2 linked regions of the Tamandua tetradactyla genome follow. The protein of the gene in region 2 interacts with the protein of the main gene of each other region in a pairwise test. Links are inferred from orthologs where the notes say so. Each region holds a gene or a part of one and is shown on either strand. Other genes may lie near its edges.

Region 1 (9,990 bases), on a different chromosome or scaffold from region 2:
CCTCCTGGTGACCGGAGCCCCTGCCCTGCCATGCCCTTTGTCCAACCCATCCCTCCACACACACGTTCAGTGTTTTAACCATTCTATCCAAACACTCCCGTCTTTTGTCTCATTTATTCAGAGCACATTTCAAAGGCCAATATTGTTTTGCAGATGGGAAAACAGAGGCACCGAGGGGTTAAGTAGGAAATAAAGAATCTGGACTCTCAAACGGTGGCTTCTAGACAGCACTGCCCCCTGATGCTTTCACATCACTCTAGGCCCATTTTGTGCAGAGCAGACTCTGTACAGGCTGACCATCCCCTTAGGGATGGCTCACCTGCATGTTTAGCGAATTCTCCATTCACACTGGTAGGAGCCTGAAGCATTCTTCTGAAGAAAAGCCACAGCATTCCTTTCACACACAGGCCTCCACCAGAAACATATGGAAATAATGGGAAATCACCCCTTTCCCATCCCTGTTCTGAGCACCAACCCTCCCTCTACATGCCTTTTCTTGGCTTCTCTGCAGAAACACTGTGCCCCAGTTCTGGCAAAGCTGCGCCCTCCGCCTGACAACCAGGATGCCTATCGGACAGAATTTGGGTCCCTTGGGCCCCTTCTCTGCTCCCATGTGGTCAAGGCCCGGGCTCAGGCTGCTCTGCAGGCTCAGCAGGTCAACAGGACTACACTGACCATCACCCAGGTCAGTGCCAGAGGGAGGGGGAGCAACCAAGTGGAAAAGAAGATGAGAGGAAATTAGAAAATGCTGGGGCATGACAGAGCTGTGATCCTTGCCAGGCCTGGGACTCACACACACACTCTGACACAAGCAGTCACTTTAAATTTTAAATTCCAGAGCTGTCCAACTCTGAGTCCAGGCTTCCTTAGTATATATGCCCCGCCCCCAGATGGGAACCAGAGCAGCAGCAAGAGGAGCCCAGGTGTTTCCTCGCCTTTTTTCTCTTGGGTTTTGATAGTCTCGCCTCTTCTTCCTATAGCCCCGGCCCACGCTGACCCTCTCCCAGGCACCTCAGCCTGGCCCTCGTACCCCTGGTTTGCTAAAGGTCCCTGGCTCTATTGCACTGCCTGTCCAGACACTGGTGTCTGCACGAGCTGCTGCCCCTCCTCAGCCTTCTCCTCCTCCAACCAAGTTTATTGTAATGTCATCATCCTCCAGTGCCTCATCCACCCAACAGGTATGTGGAGGTTGTTGGGGCAAGGGGTCTGGGTCACCCCAAAGCACCCTGGAGGGCCCCAAAGACAGAAGATGAAAGGGGCCCTTTGTGGGGTGCTGTGGAACCATCACTGCTTGGCCTGACATGGTCCCTGAGCTGGCAGTACTTTGTGAAGTGGACTATGACCCCTGGCTTCTGGGGAAAGAACCTCTGGTCAGAGGGCTCAAGGCCCTGCCTTTTCTTTCTTCTCCTAGGTCCTGTCCCTCAGCACCTCGGCCCCAGGCTCAGGCTCTACCACTACCTCTCCTGTCACCACCACAGTCCCCAGTGTCCAGCCCATTGTTAAGCTGGTCTCCACGGCCACCACTGCACCACCCAGCACTGCTCCCTCTGGACCAGGCAGTGTCCAGAAGTACATTGTGGTCTCTCTTCCCCCAACAGGGGAGGGCAAAGGAGGTCCCACCTCCCACCCTTCTCCTGTTCCTCCTCCCTCATCATCCCCTTCCCCCCTTGGGAGCAGTGCCCTCTGTGGGGGGAAGCAGGAAGCTGGGGATAGTCCCCCTCCAGCCCCAGGAACTCCAAAGGCCAATGGCTCCCAGCCCCCTGGATCTGGCTCCCCACAGCCTGCTCCTTGATGCTGTCATTTATCTGCTGTCTTCTACAGATTCCTACGTGCACACATACACACACACACACGTTGAGTGGAAAGAAGTAGTAGCCTACTTCCTTCATTTCCCTTTCTTTTTAGATATTGTACAGCCAGTTCCTCAGAATAAAAGTTTGGTTTGGTAAGTTCTGATCCACCTCAGTCTTTCCTGTGTTAGACACCACATAAGCCTCAAACCCATCAATCCTTCCTGATCTCTCAGGTCCCAGGACTCTCCCAGTCCAGATCCACAACCACAGGCCAGGAGCCTGGACCATACTTTGCTGCCTGCGTCCTCATCTGGGGATCCTCAGAGCCGGATGACGTAGGCATCGCTGTGGCTTAGGTGCCGCACCCACTTGTGGGGGTTGATGTTGCCACAGGGTCTGAAGGAAAGCCTGAGGAAGCGCACCTGGAGGCCAGAGCAGGTGTGCCGGGGAAGCTCAAAGGAGAGGCTTGCAGGGCCCAGCCCCAGAGGAGGATTCGGGGTGGAGGGCCCATGGCCAGGAGGCCCAGAGAGGCCTGGGACATCCATCTGTGAGGAGAGACAGGAGAGGAGTGCTGAAGGTTGGAGGGGAGCTGGCAGAGAGCCAAGAAGTGAGCACACTAACCACAGTGGAGGAACAAAACAGCAACTCTGGAGGCATGGTCAGGGCTGGAAATGGAGGCTGTGGGAGAGGCTGTTCAAGAACCAAGAGCTGATACCTGGAAAAGGCCTGAGAGCTGAGAGCCTCCTTGAACACGAGGTAGGTCCCAGCGAAGGGCTCCCTCCCCCAGCTCTGCCTTCTGTTCCGGGCTGCTCAGCTCCTGAGAAAGGCTGAGATTTGGAAAGGAAAGGGATTGGGCTCAGCCTGCACTTTCCTGGGATGGGGGTAGGGGGGCTGCAGGCAAGTTGTGCCCTCCTCCTACAGCACATCCTGCCGTCCACCCAGCTCCCTGTAGTGTGTACATGCTAACCTGATCACCCCTCGCGGCAGGGGAAGGTGCAGTCTGACGTTGAGTGCTTGGCTACAAAGGAGAAATGAATGACATGTGGGAGACTTGGTTTAATTCCCAGCCCATGCACCAAAAAAAAAAAAAAGAAATGAACGAAGTCAAGAAGGTAGAGTCAGCTTACCCCCATCTTTCTTTAAGGTCACACCTGGACATCAGCCACCCCATCCCCTTCCCAAACTCAAAGAGCCTCTAAATGAATTGGTTTCTGAGGCTGGTGGATGAAGGAAGAGGCAATGGGTATCTTCGCCCTGGCTCCTATGCCACAAAGCTGCACTAGCCCCAGTCAGCCCTAACTCCTACCTCTTTGCAGGCAGGTCACACCGTAACTTCAGGTAAACCTGGAGCCTGGGTGAAAGAATAAAACAGCACTACTTAGGACACTTCCTACCAGCACCTCACCATTCCCTACCTAGGGCCTCCACACATGGCTGTGTAGATTGTGAGCTGTGCCCCAGGAGAAGGGATGCTGACTGGGACCCAACCTGATTCCACTAGATAAGCCTTGCATATGTGGGGCTGAGTCCACTTGGGAGGGGTGCCCTCTGCTGATCTGCACTCCCTCACCACCATCTCTCCATAAGAAGACTGGAGGATATACGAGTATGGGCTTGAATCCCAAAGAAGTTCTAGAACAGGGAAAACAGTCTCACCTGCCTGAGCCTCGATCCCACTGCACAGAGGGAAAAAGCCGGAAGGGGAGAGGGGTGGGAAGGTCATCGGAGAGCTGGTATCGCATCACAGTCAGCTGCAACCAGAGAGGAGCAGAGATCAGTTTGGTCTCCTCACACCTGAACTGCCTCTCCATACTGGACAGAATATGCTGGGCCACCCATCCTGACCTCGCCTTGAGGTGGCTGCAAGCGCAGGATTCGATGAGATTCAAACTCATCCAGATGCACAGAACTGTGAAATGAGACCTCATCGACCCGAATTCCTGGCCCGTAACCTGGAAAGACAGACCCCTCTCTTAACCTACTTTGGGAGAGAAAAACAGGGAAGGGCCATCTCTCAGACCCAAATGCCCTTGCCTGGGCCTGATCTAAACCAATCCAACTTCTACGAGATCTTTGGCAGTGACCTATACTAACAGAGAAAGACCCACATTCTCCTCACCTCTCAGTTCTGATTTCCCCACACAAAATTCTTCTGTCAATCCGATGCGCAGCTCTGTCAGAAGAGAAAATACTAGGAAAGTCACCAAACACAAGTGCCACCAAGGAGCCTGTCCCACCCAGGCCTGGGGCCAATCTGCAGAGTCTCACCAGAGCCGCTAGGAAGGAAGCTCTTGAGTCGGATCTCCCCCTGCACGTCCACCTTCAGCAGTGAACCCTGAGAGAGGCAAGGCAGGGAGATTATAAAGCCCAGAACTGTGACCTCCCCAACATGTCTCTCGAGTGCCATCTGTCCTCAGTTCCAGAGTATGGGGTCCAAACTTACATTAGATGCTATCAGTACAGACAGTCTCTCCACCACATCCAAAAAAACTTCATTCTTCTGACTCTGAGGAATAGAGAAGATTTAGGTGGTTGGAGGCTGAACAGCCTGTGTTCCAAGATGGACAGACAGGAAGGACTGGAGAGTTGAGGCTAGGGCCTGGGGTTGGAGACTTGGGGTGAAGGAAGGGAAGGGCAGGATGTCTAGAGGAGGTGCAAGGATATGTAGGGATCTGGGACTCTGGTCCCCAGAAAATAAAAGAAGGGTCTGACCCTGCCAAGCCCTCCCTCACCTGGTCAGAGCGACTGGTGAGAACAGGGCGGCTGGCTGCGCTGCTGGGAGCCACCTTGCTCTGTTGTGTCTCAGCTCCAAACTGCAAAGCACCCAAAGCAGTTATTCCTTTGGTTTGATATTCCTAGCCAGCCCTCCTTCTCTCTCCCTGTCTTCCTCGTGTATCCTCTACTGACCAGGCCAACACTGCTGAGATCAAATAGGCTGAAAGGCTTGCTGACCACAGCTTCTGTCTGGATGAAGTTCTTCAGTATCTCTGTTGAGGTGGTCTGTACATAACCATAGTCCTATTGGTGAAGGAAGGAGTTGTGCGTGGTCAGGAGGACAAGGGTGAGAAATGAGTGGACTTGGCATCCCAACAACAGGTTTCCACGGGTAGAAGAGTGAATCTATCCTCAGGAAAACAGCAGCCAACTGAGGGAAACCCTTGTCCTTACCAGCACTTCGTCCAGAAGCTCATAGACAAGAGCCACGTTGCGGGAGATGGTCCCTTCACTGAGAGAGCCACAGTAGTCACCCAGGAGAGTGGCTAACCTGAGGAAACAAAAGGAGTGTGCATCCTCTCTTTTCAGATCCCCCCCCCCCCGCCGGGGCCCGCCCACCACACCCACCGGGAGAGCAGCTCTAGGAGGCTGAAGGGAGAAATGTTTTCTGAAGTCGTGGCTACCAAATAGAGGCCGCTGTGTCTGATGTGAATAAAATGACGGTCATCGTGGTGCTGAGACAGAGGCGGGAAAAGAGTTTTAGGAAAATCGTGGAGGTGAAGAGCCGGCAACCCTGACTTCATATCCTGCTTCCCCTACTTACTAACAATGGGACTTTGGGCAATACATAAAACCTCCCCACGCCGCAGCTTCCCCTGTGTAATTGGGATTAATACCAAAGACATGTAAGGAACTGTGCCTGGTACACTGCTGGCGTTCATTCAACGTTCATTAGTACCATTTGGGTGTGGGAAACAGCCCTGGATTCAGGAAGGAGGAGACGCCCACCCGGCACCCCGCCGGGGCCCGCGGATGGTTACCATGACAACCGGAGACTCGTCTCCAGGCAGTCCCGTCAGCTTCCGGTAGAAGAGCTCGGCCACATCTCGGCCGCCACTATCCCCGCGGACTGAGTGGGTGGAAGCGGAGTTAAGGGGCCGGCGATGCAGGCGGACCCTGGAGCACTACTGCTCCCTCCCCGACCCTTCTGCCTTGTCCCGCCCCGCGGGTCAAGGATACAATCTTTGTAGATGAGCGGGTCCCCCTTGGAGGACAGAATGAAGAACTGGGAAATCATGGCCGATCTGGGAAGTAGACAAGAGGACAGCGAATCTTGGGCCTGCCCCGCCCTCGGCCACGAAACAAAAGGACGCGCCGGGTCTGGCCCTTTACTAGCGACGCTCCGGGGCCGCGCCCGCTGCGACCGCGGGAAACCCGGAGCCCGCCCCGCCCCGTCCCTGACTGCCCGCCTGCCACTCTGCACAGGCTCGTCCGGTGATTGGCTGAGGCTGTGGCCCGCCGCGGGGGAGAGGGGCGGGAGGCCGTCGGCTCCGATTGGCCCGCACAGAGCGGCGCGGATCACGTGGGGCGCGACGTTTCGCGCCAATTTCGGTTGTTCTGCCGCCGTCTAGCGTGTGGACGGTCTTTGCTGTCCCGGGAGCCAAAGTTCAGAGCCCGCCAACTGCTACCGCGCGGCCCTGGGCAGCGATGGCACTGAAGGACTACGCGCTAGAGAAAGGTGAGGGTTCATCGCCCTGGAAGGGCGTTTTGCACGAGAATCCTCACCGCCAAAACCCGCTGCCGCAAGCTGGGCTCTTGGGGGGCCGAGGGCGGCGGGGCTGAGGCAGGCGTTGTCGGGGAGGCGCACAGGGACCCTCGGGGGTCGAAGGGAGCTGGTAACCCTGGTGGGGCCGCGGTGGGGGTGGGGCGGTTAGCAAACTCAGGGATCCAGAGTGGGGATGGCGCACGGGTGAGACCCGAACGTCAGGTAGCCCTGCCTGGGCGATTCCAGCCACGGGGCCCGGGACCTTCGGACCCGTTTCCCGCCGGCTGTGGGCACTCACAGGTTCCCGCGTCCTTCCGAGACGCGCCGAAGCTCCGGGGGCGGGAACAGTAGGGCCGCTGCGCCCGCGGATTGGCCGCTGTGGGCCAGCCTCCGAGCGGAAGTGAAGACGGGACGGAAGTTGCGCGGCGCGGAGGGAGGGCGTGTCGTGTGTAAACAGTGTCCTTCCGCGCGGTAGCCTCGGAGAGAGCTACTTACGGTGGGGGCGTGCCTGGAATTAGGGGGCCTAGCGGGAGGTCGAAGGAGAAGGTAGTGGGATGGGACGAAGGGGCTTTGGATGTGCTGGCCAGTGGCCAGACATGCCTCCCGCCTTGGGCGGAGGAATCCTGGGCTGTGAGGCGGCTAGATTTGGGGCCCATGTGCTTCTTTGTTTACTAAGAGCGGAAGCAGTGGCGGGGAGAGGGGGTGGGGTGGAGGACGGGCCTAGTGGCTGAGAGCCCCGTGAGAGCAGAGATTTAGGGGACCGAGAGAAAGTGGGAATCACATGGGTGCAGGAAAAGCCGATAACCGAGAGACCCAAGTGTGTGGTAGGGCGTGGAAGGCAATTTGGAAAGGGTACTAAGGTTTCGAATTGTAGCAGATACTGGGATTCCCCTTGCGGAGAGTGTTGGGTAACACTCTTACCTGCCAGAGGTCCTTCATTCTACCAGGTAAGACCAGACTAATGCAAAGGAATTATGCACAGGTTTGGGAGAAACACGTAGATTTACTTAAAATTGTATATAAATAACTACTGGACATTTTAAGTAAAAGTGAGGTAGATTCCCAACAGAGGGTTTTGTAGTTAAGATACCTGAAAGAAAGGTTGTTCTTAATGATCTTACATTTACATTACAGAAAAAGCTAAGAAGTTTCTACAAGAGTTTTACCAGGATGAGGAATTTGGCAAGAAACAGTTCAAGTATGGGAACCAGTTGGTAAGTCTAAGATTAGATGTAGTGAATTGGGTATTGCTCTGTCTTAAAAGCTGCTCTTTATTCACTTTGCATGCCCAGAGCTGTTCCTTGAGCACATGGTGGTGGGTCCTCGTGTGAATACGGTGTATAAAGTAAACTAGGTTCTAAAGCATTGCTGTCCCTTTCCTTCCCAGGTCCAACTGGCTCATCGGGAACAAGTGGCCCTATACGTGGACCTGGATGATGTGGCCGAGGAGGACCCTGAGTTGGTGGACTCAATTTGTGAAAATGCCAAGCGCTATGCAAGGCTTTTTGCTGATGCCGTACAAGAGCTGTTGCCTCAGTATAAGGAGAGGGAGGTGAGTGGTTGGAGAAAAACGCAGGGTAAGGAACTTATGTTTCTGCCAAAAAGGTTCTCAGCTGGCAGAAAGGAGAGACTTTGGCTTCTGCCTGGGGTCCTTGATAGTCCTGTCTTTCCTCTTCTTGCCACTAATTTTTTGTCTTACTCCTTCCTTTAGGTGATAAATAAAGATGTCCTAGATGTTTACATTGAGCACAGGCTGATGATGGAGCAGCGGAGCCGGGACCCTGGAGCCACCCGAAGTCCCCAGAACCAGTACCCTCCTGAGCTTATGCGCAGATTGTGAGTGGTCTCTAGGGCTGGGTGTTAGAACTTGTTCTCCAGGACCCTACTAATGACTGCTTTCCCTACTTAGTGAGCTGTACTTTCAAGGTCCAAGCAGCAACAAACCTCGTGTGATCCGGGAAGTACGGGCTGACTCTGTGGGGAAATTGGTAACCGTGCGTGGAATTGTCACTCGTGTCTCTGAAGTCAAACCAAGGATGGTGGTGGCCACTTATACTTGTGACCAGTGTGGGGCAGAGACCTACCAGCCGGTATGTGAGGAATAGGAAGGCAATTAAGTCTTCGTAGTTTTTGTAAGGGTTGCTTTTGTCTCCTCCTCTCTGTGCTAATTGTAGAACATACCTGTGTGCTTGCTTTTCTCATTCTTTTCCTGGTATGAACAGTCCTGTGATTAAGGGGCTCTTTATCTTCTGGTTTTCTTTGGTCTTTTTCTCAAATCCTAGATCCAGTCTCCTACTTTCATGCCTCTGATCATGTGCCCAAGCCAGGAGTGCCAAACCAACCGCTCAGGAGGGCGGCTGTACCTGCAGACACGTGGCTCCAAATTCATCAAGTTCCAAGAGATGAAGATGCAGGAACATGTGAGTTTGGGTTGTTTGGCCTATAGCAGGTAGAGGAGAAAGTCCACTCTAACCCTGCAGATGCTAGAGTGGTAAAAAGAAAGGAGAAAAACAAGGAAAGCTAGAGCAGTAGGGAAATTAACTTTAGTCGGAAGTTTCTGATTGGGTTAGATAGAGGTAAGGGAGATCTTGGCTTCCCTCCTAGGCCCTTCTCAGGATGGTAGGTTGAGAGAAGTAGAGGAGCAGGATGCCTGGGCAGGAAGGTTAGGTCTCTCTGGGCTTACATTCTTTTCTTTTTGCTGTCCATATCCTTCCCCTCCCCTAGAGTGACCAAGTACCTGTGGGCCATATCCCTCGAAGCATCACAGTGTTGGTAGAAGGAGAGAACACAAGAATTGCCCAGCCTGGAGATCACGTCAGTGTCACTGGTATCTTCTTGCCAATCTTGCGCACTGGATTTCGGCAGGTAGTACAGGTAAGAAAAGAAGTTTAGAATAAGGGGGAAATGTTGCTTTTGCCCCCTCACCCAGTCACTCCTCCCCCACAGAAAAGATTACCAACAGCAGACACCGATGAAATAGTACAAAAGGTCTGTCAGGAAATTCTCGGGGAATCAATAGTAGATGAGTTAGTTAAAGGGATGTCACCAATATCCTGGTGTTTTCTTGCCCAAGGGTTTACTGTCAGAGACTTACATGGAAGCCCACCGGATTGTGAAGATGAGTAAGAACGATGATGATGAGGCCGGGGCTGGAGAACTGAGCAGGGAGGAGCTGAGGCAGATTGCAGGTGAGGGGCCAGGGGAAAGGTTGGGAGTTGGAGCTTCCTGGCCCTTTTTCTTTCCCAGTGAATTCTCTAATCTTCATTTTCCTATAGAGGAGGATTTCTATGAAAAACTGGCAGCCTCCATCGCCCCAGAGATATATGGGCATGAAGATGTGAAGAAGGCACTGTTGCTCCTACTGGTGGGAGGTGTGGACCAGTCTCCTCGAGGCATGAAGATCAGAGGTAGGAGAGACGAGGTAGGAGAGAGGCTGAGGTCAGTGTAGTCGTTGGGGGAGAAAAAGGAAGACATGGGCTGGTGTGCCTAGAGGCCACATATAAACAGTGCATGTCTTGGCTTTATTGGTTAGGATAGGCTTAGAAGAAACAATGCTGGCTCTCGGGGCTCTGGGCATGGATTTTATTTTCTCTGTTGTTGGATGACTTGCTCTGAGAGGTCACTTGGGGTCTTCTTCCCCTCCAGGCAACATCAACATCTGCCTAATGGGGGATCCTGGTGTGGCCAAATCTCAGCTCCTGTCTTATATCGATCGAC
Region 2 (9,975 bases):
CTGGATGATGTCAGGCATTTCTGGAACAGCTGTTAAAACTCATACAGCAATTAGGCAGACAGTGCAAGTTCTGAACACTATCCTGAATGATCACTGGCCACCAAATATCAGAATGCCCACCACTCTGGCCATCCTCATGTCTCCTTGCATCCAGAGTAGGCTGTCCTAACCAGCTCAGACACAGGTACCTGTGGTTTGCTTAAAGCCCTCTGGATAGGGAGTTTCCAAAATACCTCTTTTAAGACATAAAGGGTTGCCTTTGCAGTTTCTGCCTGTTTAGCACTTCAGCCACTTGAAGTGGCCCTGGAAGACAGAGAGCCCTCAGTCCTCAGTCTACAAATGGACAAACCCATTCTCAAACTTCTTTGCAGCTCTGAACCGAGCTCTGTACTAAGCAAAAAGAAACCTAGGATTTCAAGTAAGAGTTTCCTGTGATCAGGGAAGGCAGAGACTGGTGAGAAGAGAGGTGGTGAGGCATTTGGAGAGTGAGGTAGCTGACAAGGATGGGAGGGTTGGCAAGTGAGAAGACCCAGGAGAAAATCCAACCGCCCCTGGGGGTAGGGATTCCCTCTGAGCCCAGGTTACTGATCCAGAGTCCTGCTACTCACCTAGTTTGCCCAGCAGCATCTGGCCTACATCCTTGATCTCATTATACTCGTGCAGCTGTAAAATGTGGTCCTCTAATTCATCCACACTGTAGCCTCTAGAAAGAAGGGTGGAGAGAGGGAAGAGAGACCCCTTAAGATAGCTAATGAGGACTCAAGGCTCAGATAGTAATGAAGCATCTGTTTAAAAAGTGCTTGTTATGGGTCTACTAGGTGATAGGAACTGGGGATATAGTGATGGCAAGACAGACCCTGCTACCATGAAGCTTAATGGATGGCAGGGTCTCTGTCCAGTCTCTTACTCCTGGCAAATGTTTCTTGTATCCTTAGAGAGGAGTGCCCCATCATATTAGTACTATGTGACCCTCACCACAGCTGAGTGGCTCACAGATGGGCACATGATCCAAGCTGTCTAGTGAGATTCTCTCAAATATGAAATGTGGATTTGAAGTCTGCTCAATCTCTGCCATGGGGCTGCAGCATGGTATAATGTAAAATCCAGGAGCTATAGAACATCCAGTTTCCCTTATGCATTGAAAACCTTGCTGAAGAAAGAGACTAGAGTATCTGTGCAGATGGATGCAGACGAAGAGAATGGGAGCCCAAGAGAGAGACCGGAAGAGTGACTGACTCCACTCCTGACAGCTTTCCAGTTTCCAGTTCTGGGCTCTCCTGAGGCCGACCAGCCTCCCTGCCCTGAAGGCCACTGAGTCACCATGAATCCAACAGCACAGTCCTGTTTTTACGCTAAGCTAGTGTGACCAAGTTTCAGTTACTGGGCACAAATCAAAAGTTTTCTTAACCATGTCGAGGAATCCAGCAAAGGGGACTTACTCAGATAATAGTTGGGAGATCTCCTTGTCCAACATGTCCCTCTTCTCTTTCAGCTTCTGAATGTCAAGCTGAAGAGAATCCTCGCTGGCTCCATTGGCCGGGTCAGACTTGGGAGACAGCATCTGAGTGGCAGAAAGTCATTAACTGGACTGGCCAATTATCTGTAATTCTGAGTCTACAAAGTGCCTCCCCCATTAATCACTCTACTTTTTTGTCGTGGTAATAGAAACCTACCTCCCTATTGAATGGGACTATATTTCCCAGCCCCCTTTAGGATTAGATGAGCCCTATGACTACATTCTGGCAAATGGAAGGCAATCAGAAATGGTGTATACAATATCTGGGAATCATCCTTCGAGGCAGAAGGCATGCCTTTCTCTGGCTTTTCCTCTTACCTACAGGCTGGAATGCAGATGTAATGCTGGTGTTGAACAACTATCTTGGAAGATGACATAGAAGCCATACATTGAAGTCATGGCAGGACAAGATAGAGGCATGGGTACTTAGTGATTTTTTTTTTCCACATGGGCAGGCACTGGGAATCAAACCCAGGTCTCTGGCATGGCAGATGAGAAGTCTGCCACTGAGCCACCATTGCCTGCCTCTTAGTGATTTTTAAGTCACTGTTATCTGGAGCTTTCTTTCACTCTCAGGCAAGTCCAATCCTAACTAATATACCTACCCTATTCCTCAATCTGACCCAAAAAATTCCGTTTCTGGTCACCTTCTTGGGTTCTCAAATCTGCTATGTCCCTGGAATTATAATCTCACTGGAGGGCAAAATACTTTCTAGGAGCTAGTTTTATCTTTGTCCTTTTTGTCCCTAAAGGCTGTGAAGGCTAATCTCAAAACAATTTGTTTTACGTGAAGTGTCTAGACAGAAGAGAATAAGGAAGACATGGTTCCTGTTCTTAGATCTGTGGCTTTTAACCAACAAATAGTGACAGCATTATCTGCCAGGCATTGGGAAAAGCTCCAGGAGCTTAACAATGGACAAGGCATCAAGCCTGGTCTTGTCTTCATGAAACATCAAGCCTGGCCCCAGATAGAAAAGACCAAACAATTATGCCCTTCCTCCAGACATTTCCACTGAAACTTGTTCTCACATGTCACTGCATACACTCTGTCTACAACGATAACTCCTCAATCACTTGTTATCCTTTACCCTGACTTTTTATAGCATTATCACCACCTGACATAAACATTTCATCAATGTTACTACTTTCATTGTCTGCCTTAAACCACTAGAGTATAAGCTCCATGAAGACAGGGACTTTCATTTGTTCAAAGCTGATTCCATAGTGTCTGTGACTGTACCTGTCACATAAAGAAGCACCCAATATTTGTCAGATGAATGACATATAATTAATCAACTAATTACAAGTCTAAAAAGTGTCCTGAAGTGGAAGCACAGGGTGAATCAGCTGAGCCAAAAGTGGGGAGAATGCTGAGAAAGCTGAATCCTGAAAGTATGGAGAAGGCTAAGAAAGCTGAATACGGAGGGATGAGCAAGCAAAAAGATGGCAAAAGAAAAGGATGGAAGAAAGGATTCCAGACAGAGGGGACAGTATATCCAAAGGTCCTTAGCCAGGGGACAGCACAATGTGTTTGAGAACTGAGAGTGGTTTCAGTGTGGGTGGAATGGGGTGGGTGAAGGGATAATAAAAGTGCTGTGAAAAATAATAAAAATAATTAACTGTGGTGCCATTAATAAGGAGGAGAGACAGTTTGAGTGACTAGGGGACCACTGATGTGAGGATGGTTGGAAAGGAAAGTAGAGGTATCCTGCTGGCAGCTGTTAAGTGTCCAGAGAGGTCCGGCCTAGAGAGAGATGGGAGAATCATCTGCACTGACATGAGCTGAAAGCACTGAAGTGAGATCTTTGAGGGAGTGTGTAGAAAAAACAATAGAGGGAGGATGGTGGAACCACAAGAATACACCCAAATTCATGTTAAGGAAGAAACAGGAGGCAGAGGAGCCAGCCAAGCAAGCAAGGAAAAACAGAGGAGGATCAGGATAAGGTATCTTCCAAAGAGGCCCAAAGAAGGTATTAGTTAAGAGCTAAGGATCTAGAGTCAGGCTGCCTCAGTTTAAATGCTGCAACTCCATCACTCCCAGGACTGTGAGATTTATAATCTCTCTGGAACTCAGAGTCCTCATCCGCTTCTGCCTCAAAGGTTGTTGAAAGGATTCAGCAAGATGAATCAACCACAATGATTGAGGCAAAGTAAGGGCTTAGTAAAATAAAAGACTTGACTTGTTAGTGATGGGAATGAATGTGCTAGGCAGAATCAGAAGACACAGGGAGGTCAAAGACAATGAATACTGAGACTCTCTGAAAGAAAGTAACATCAGGGTACTTTTAGAGAGAGGGTCAATCAACCTGGTACTTTTGGTGAACTTGTGGCTTCCCACCCACATCATCTGGCCTAATCTACCCTGTCAGTTAGCCCTTGCCTCTGACTTCACTACCACTGGGGAGCTCTCACTGCACTCCTAAGTCTGGGCTCCTCCTCACATAAATGTGCTCATATGGTCCTGGAATTCTGCCTGTTCATCATCCTCAGCCTGTGCCTCCTTGGGAGGCAGGGACTACCGCATACACTTGCATCCCTGATGCCAGCCTCAGAGCAGTTGCTTAATCAATGTTGAACGCATAAATGTGTACCAAGTATTTCACAGTCTAACTTGAGAGTGGGGGAAGTGGTGGGAATCCCATGGGGCAGGGGTGGGGTGGGGTGGGGGAGATAAGGGGAGAAGGCAAAGGAGGTCATGTTTTGGGGGTGGTTTGCTAGAGAAGAGGAGACAATTGCAGCTATGCCTGTTCCCGACAGAAGAGTTTTGGGTATGTTTAAAGGTAGGGCTGGGTGAAGGGAGAAACCAGTGAGCAGGTGAGTTGGCTGGTGCCAGAGACCAGCAAATACATCTGGGAGGCAGGGAGAGGGCAGGGCGGAGGGGATTCCAGCCACTAGCACAGAATTTGGCTTCTGACAGGACAGGACAATGATTCCCCCCCCCAAACTTAGCAGACAGGAGGAAAAAATGTGTGTAGGGGTGAGAAGATGAGGGATTGAGAAATACCCTGGAGTTTCTCGGCAGAATAAGGTCTGAGAGGGAAGATCTTTGCCTTTCTTCTGGCCGAAGCCAGTCGGTTCTGTCGGGTTTCTTCCGACCCCGCGGGGAAGGGAGGGGGACGGAGGGTGGGGCCACATCATCCAGTCCCAGCAGCCACTGCGAACCAACCGCTGGATGAGGGCTAGGAGTAGATCACCTGCCGCTGAGGACGGAGAGGAGGGCAAGAGGTAGTTAGGTACGAGTGTAGGGGGGGCGGGGGCACAGACATACTCACAGGGGATCTGAAGGTCCCGCGGCAACTAGTGGAAAGTCCTGGTTGAGTCCTGGAGAGGAATCTGAGGAAAAAAACTAGTTAGACTTCACGGGTGCTCTGGGAGGAAAGGGTGCTGTGGGGTTGTGGGAGGAAGAGCAGATGTGAAGTAAAAGCGACCCGAACTGGATCCAGCTGGGAGGGGTAGCGATATACTCACGAGATTAGGGTAGGTACCGGACCCTCGAGGAAGGGGAGGGTCCCAGATGGGGAGGGAGTGTCTGGTGGGGCGGTGGAGCGGGGTTTTGAGAGGGTGAGAAAGTCTGGAACCGTTGCGGAGTCAGGAGAAGGGCTGTGAGGGATTGAGCCTTCCCCTTTCTCCGCTCCTCGCCTACCTCCTGAGCCCAGGAGTCCGGGGTCCCCGGCTAGGGGGAGTCTGCGGTGGGGGAGGGTCCAGGACTAGAGCTGGAGATGGGTCTTAGATCTGAGGAGTAACGGTAACCCGGAGTGGGAAATGAACCGCCATAATGAGACCTGCGCGCGCACCCTGGAAAGGCGGGTCCGCCCCACCTCAGAGTAGGAGGAGGTAGCGGTTGCGCCCCGCCCCCAGGGTGGGAGGAGACGTCTGTTGGGCCCCGCCCCTCCAAGGCGGGCGGAGACAACGGTCGCGCCCCTCCCCCCAAAGTGGGCGGAGACGTGACTCCGCGAGGATCTTTCATTGTGAGCACACCCTCCCGGCCACGCCCACAGTGATATGGCCCCGCCCCTTTCCGTGTCATCTTTCTCCTCGCCCAATGGACGGGGAGATTTAGGCCACGCCCACATTCTATGCTGCTTAGTACCTCCCTGGTCCCTCCCTTCCCTGGCTCAGTCACACATCGGCGCGGTAGCTAGCGGAAGCGATTTCGCAGTGGCTGCTGGGATTAGATGATGTGGCTCCCCCGTCCCCCTCCCCTTCCCGAGATGTCGGAAGAAACCCGACAGCAGAAATTGGCTTCGGCCAGAAAGAAGGTAAAGCGCGCTGGGTCGCGGCTCCCGACCCAGCCCGGAGGCCCCTCCGACCCACCACACGGTGACCAGAGTCTGAACTGCCCCTGAGGCAAACGGGAAGAGCCCCTCGGCTCCCCTTGGCGCCCCTCTCGTCTTTTCAGCCAGTCCCGCCCCCTCGGCTGCCTAGCTCCCGCCCTCGCCCGTCGCTCCTGGGTGACTTTGGGCCGGTGACCCCCAGGATCCCTGCTCTGAGCGGGGCTCTCGGGTCCTGCTGCCCAGAACCGAGCCACCGTGGGCTCTTGGCCAGCTTGGGTTCCCGGTCTCCTGGGACCTCGGTCCCGGCGCTGGTCTCCCCTCCCCCACCGCCGAGCGGTGACTCGGAGGAGGGTAGGGAGAGATGGAATGCAGTTACGTCACAGTCCCCCTCGGAGCTGTCATTATCGCCATGGGACCAGCCTTTGATCTTCCGATCCGATCCCCAGTGTTCACCCCTTTCCGGCTTCTCTGGTCGCGGAGCAGATTACCAGCTTGAAGGGAACTCGGGACTGTGGGACATAGGCAGAGAGGTTTCAGGCTCCCATACTTTGGCTATACCGCATCCTTAGACATTGACAGCCCACACTTCACCGCTGATCTCAAAATGTTTACAACATCGCTTGGTGACAAGGGGAGAGCTTACTGTTGGCTTTTTCTCCCAGGCTTCTACTCTCCAGAGAGACTTTGAAATATTTCTTGTTGTCTACCTCACATTCTAATACCCTAAGATTCTGGGACCAGACTCCCCCTCATTTGATGCTCTTTAGAGTAAGATCTGCTTATCTTCTGTGCTATAGATCCTGGGAAAATGCATGAATTTCACTATTGGGAATCTTCTTCATGTCATCTTCTTGACTTAGGGTTCTCTGAAGTGTGCTTACTGTATGAAGTATAGAAAGGATCCCTATATCTAATTTCTAAATCATACAGTGTATTGGTCTTGCCCATTTAATAATTACTTTTCGATGTCCATCTCTGGTTTTTCCCCTTGGCAGCTATTGATTATGGGAGAACCCCAGAACTTCTAAGTCAAAAATTTAAATAACTTTTTTTTAAGCCATGTTACCTATCACTTGACTTTTTTGAGTCCATTTCTTCGGTAATTAAACGAAAATTATACACCCTGTAGAGTTGGTGTGGCATTAAATCAGATTGCATCCAGGGGCTTAGATTTCTCATGAGCGTCTCTCCTTTTCCTTTCTGCAGTTACGCGAATTTCAGATGAAAAACAATCTTCCTGTTCCTCCAAGAGTGAAGAAAAAAAAGATAGAAAATGGTCCTGAAACACCAACTTCTGATGACCACTCACCTGAGGATGTGAGTCTTGGCTGGCCAGGCTTCCGGGGATAGGGATGCAGAAAGAGCAGTAGAGGAGAAGGGTTAAGATTATGGAAGAGGAAGTATTAAGTGCTAGTTAAGAATTCTGACTTTGTCTTCCTCTGCTAAGGATGTGGTTTTAGAAAAATTGTTCAAGCTCTTTGGGACTGTTTTTGCACATCTGTAAAATAGAGATACTGTTTTATTTATATATTGTGAAGTTTAAATGAGAATTGTTGCTGTTTTTATAAAAGTCCTTAAGTACAGGGTCTGGTACAGAGTAAATATTCAATAAATGGTAGTTTCCATTTGACCTGTTGCTCTGGTGATTTTCCTCATTCCCAGCCTCAGTGAGAAGCCAAGCTGATGAGAACAGCCACTTGCTGTCAGGTTCTCCCTTTAGAAAGTCCCAACAGAGCCCCAAGGTGTGATGAAGAAAGCCCCAGCCACTAGGATTAGGAGAAGGTCTGAGTTCCGAGTCTCTTTGCCACCAGTTTGCCTTCAGAAAATCTCTTCCTCCCCTGAGCCTCATTTCCTCATCTGTAAGATGATATTGCTGGACTAGAGCAGCATCTTTCAAACTTTTTTTAGCTGTAGCTCCCTTTGTTCAAATGAACCCTTACTCAAAAGTGTGTTTCCCCCCCGTCTATGTGACTGCTTAATTTAGTGAACTTCTCCATTTATTTGTGTACATTGATTTCTGCCTCTGGCAAGACAGCAAGTGGCTGTTTGGAAGGACGGCACAGCCTGCGGTATTGATCCCCTCCTGTATCTTCTTCAGCATCCCATTTCCCTGAACCCACCTCTTCTTCGCTGTCCTGACTCTTACCTCTTTCTAAGTCACTTCTCTCTTTCTCCCCCCTCCCCCTATTTTCCTCCTTTGCTGCCTGTAGATTCAGGACTTTCTGAAGGTGTTGGTGTCCGACCTTAACCGCTCCAATGGGGTAGCACTACCCTCATTGGACAAGTGGAAGGTGAGGCAGTGCCAAGACCCCCTCTCTGGCTTGCTCTCTCCGCCTGTGCATGCTCCTGAGGCTTTTCTGGTTTGGGGAATTCTTTACTTCTAGCTTATTTTATGTTGCTGTCATTAACCTTCAGCCTGCTCATATCTTTTCACCTGCTTGATTGTTTTTTTCCCTTCCCCCAAGTCTTTTATCACCTTGGAGAAGGTGGTAGTGTATCTTAGGTAATTTAGGAATAACTTTCAGAGCAGGGATATAAGCTATTTGGGCCTCGGTATTGAATGTCCAGTGGTGCTATCAGACTAGGAGAGATTTTTTAAAAATCTTTGTCTTGCCCTTAGATCATCTATTCCTAGGGGGCCAGTAGACCACAAAGATGTTTGTGATTTTTCGAATTGAGGAATTCTTTTTGGTTTGAGTGTAGGAAATATATGGGTAAGAGATTATAGCTGAAAGAATTGAGGTTCTTTTTTCAGAAGAGCTCATTGTAAAGGCTGTGAGGTTAACCAAACAGATGAGTGGTTAGGATCTTCTGCTCCCAGTCTTTTCTAAAAATCACCTGAGCACTCAGCCATGTTCATTGGGCCATGCACTTTGCTAAACAGTGGAGAAAACAGATAAACAAGACGTGGTACACACTGAGGGAAGTAGGCCCCTCTGAAGTAAGTGAGGTAGAATGTGACAACATTACAAATGGTCAGTTAAAGTAGAGGTTAGTTCTGGATGGGCTTGAGGATGGAGGAAATGGCATTTGGTGCTGGTTTGAAGGGTAAAGGTGGGTAGTTTTCATCCATGTGGAGAGTGGGGGAGATAGGAATTCTAAGCACAGGGAGTAGTACAGGTAATGACTGGAATCATAAGCTCACAGGGCACCTTCCAGGAAGCCAGGGCCTGGAGTGGTGCAGGGTATCGGGGGTGCATAGGGCTAGGAGATGATCTCTGACCTCTTCCAGATGTGATGTTAGCACTCCCTCCTTAACTAACTTACCTGAGAGACATCTGCCAAGGCATAATAGAAGGGCTGTTTGAGGTTTCCCCATGAGGCATGAGGAAAGGGACTGAGAAAGGTTACTATCAGCTGGTGTTAGAAAGATTTTTTAAATCACAGGACTGTTCACACCCAGTTGGTCAGGTCTATCAAGCTGTTGTGACTTGCCTGGTTGATTTAGAGGAGAGGTGGCATGGCATGATGAGGGAAGCGCAGTGCTAGGATTCATGAATCCATGTGTTTTGCTTTTGTTGTGTGATGATCCAGTCATTTAGGGGATCTGGCACCTCAGGTCCTCATGAAGTTCTCAGAAGCCAGAGTCTTAGGGTCCAGAGAGAAAGCAGCCCTTTCTTCTGACACAGATGTAGCCTCTTCCTCCCCAGGCCCAGCTTCCCTGGGCAAGCTTTAGCCTCTCAAGGTCTTCCCTTGCCAAGCTTTAGCAGCTGTTCACCTTCTTTCCCATGGTGGAGGGAAGAAAGGAGAGCTAAAAAGGAAAGAGGCAGGTAGCCATGTTGATCACATCTACTACTTCATCACTGCCGTCCTCTGCCCAGAAGGGGCCAAGGGTTAGGGTCACTCTGGGGCACAAACTAGCTTTCTGAAAGAATGATGTCTTTCTTCTCCCTGACTTTGGCACACCTTCCTCCTACCTGCTATGGCTGTCACAGGTCAGAGCCTGAGACTTTTTCTCAGTTCCAGGCAGAACAAAGTCCTCCCTCATGTACTCATGGGGGAGGATATGCAGGCTCTACTTTGAGCTTTGGCTATTCAAAATGCTGCAGAGTGGCAGAGGCCCAGGCGAGCCATATCCATAATCCAGAAAGCCTGCCAGCATGTGTGATATTCACTCTCATTGCAGCAACACCTGTTCTACACATCCCGCACCCCTGTGTCCATGGTCTCGTTGCCACAGGATCC

Evidence for each region.
Region 1: the proteins of GOLGA2 (region 2) and MCM7 interact in binary tests that used the Homo sapiens proteins (3 or more experiments, as listed by UniProt). The two-hybrid records come from large-scale screens. The link is inferred for Tamandua tetradactyla from reciprocal best matches to the Homo sapiens genes GOLGA2 and MCM7.

The regions. Positions count from the first base shown.
Region 1 is NC_135349.1:8,247,790-8,257,779, reverse strand, and holds the start of MCM7 (DNA replication licensing factor MCM7), read left to right. Parts: upstream 1-6,138; 5' UTR 6,139-6,215; coding exon 6,216-6,246; intron 6,247-6,571; exon of another isoform or gene 6,572-6,693; intron 6,694-6,749; exon of another isoform or gene 6,750-6,769; intron 6,770-7,168; exon of another isoform or gene 7,169-7,220; intron 7,221-7,407; coding exon 7,408-7,487; intron 7,488-7,660; coding exon 7,661-7,825; intron 7,826-7,984; coding exon 7,985-8,109; intron 8,110-8,182; coding exon 8,183-8,363; intron 8,364-8,555; coding exon 8,556-8,693; intron 8,694-8,997; coding exon 8,998-9,147; intron 9,148-9,346; coding exon 9,347-9,461; intron 9,462-9,548; coding exon 9,549-9,680; intron 9,681-9,918; coding exon 9,919-9,990. Other genes in the region: TAF6 (transcription initiation factor TFIID subunit 6), read left to right, coding at 1-7, 512-685, 981-1,178, 1,412-1,792; AP4M1 (AP-4 complex subunit mu-1), read right to left, coding at 2,114-2,338, 2,509-2,620, 2,761-2,811, 3,100-3,144, 3,450-3,544, 3,639-3,745, 3,913-3,966, 4,062-4,128 and 7 more. UniProt on the Homo sapiens protein: Acts as a component of the MCM2-7 complex (MCM complex) which is the replicative helicase essential for 'once per cell cycle' DNA replication initiation and elongation in eukaryotic cells.
Region 2 is NC_135328.1:51,073,043-51,083,017, reverse strand, and holds the start of GOLGA2 (golgin subfamily A member 2), read left to right. Parts: upstream 1-5,623; 5' UTR 5,624-5,691; coding exon 5,692-5,775; intron 5,776-6,996; coding exon 6,997-7,107; intron 7,108-8,000; coding exon 8,001-8,081; intron 8,082-9,975. Other genes in the region: DNA repair protein SWI5 homolog, read right to left, coding at 609-703, 1,440-1,561, 4,521-4,670, 4,789-4,849, 4,985-5,200, 5,335-5,483. UniProt on the Homo sapiens protein: Peripheral membrane component of the cis-Golgi stack that acts as a membrane skeleton that maintains the structure of the Golgi apparatus, and as a vesicle thether that facilitates vesicle fusion to the Golgi membrane.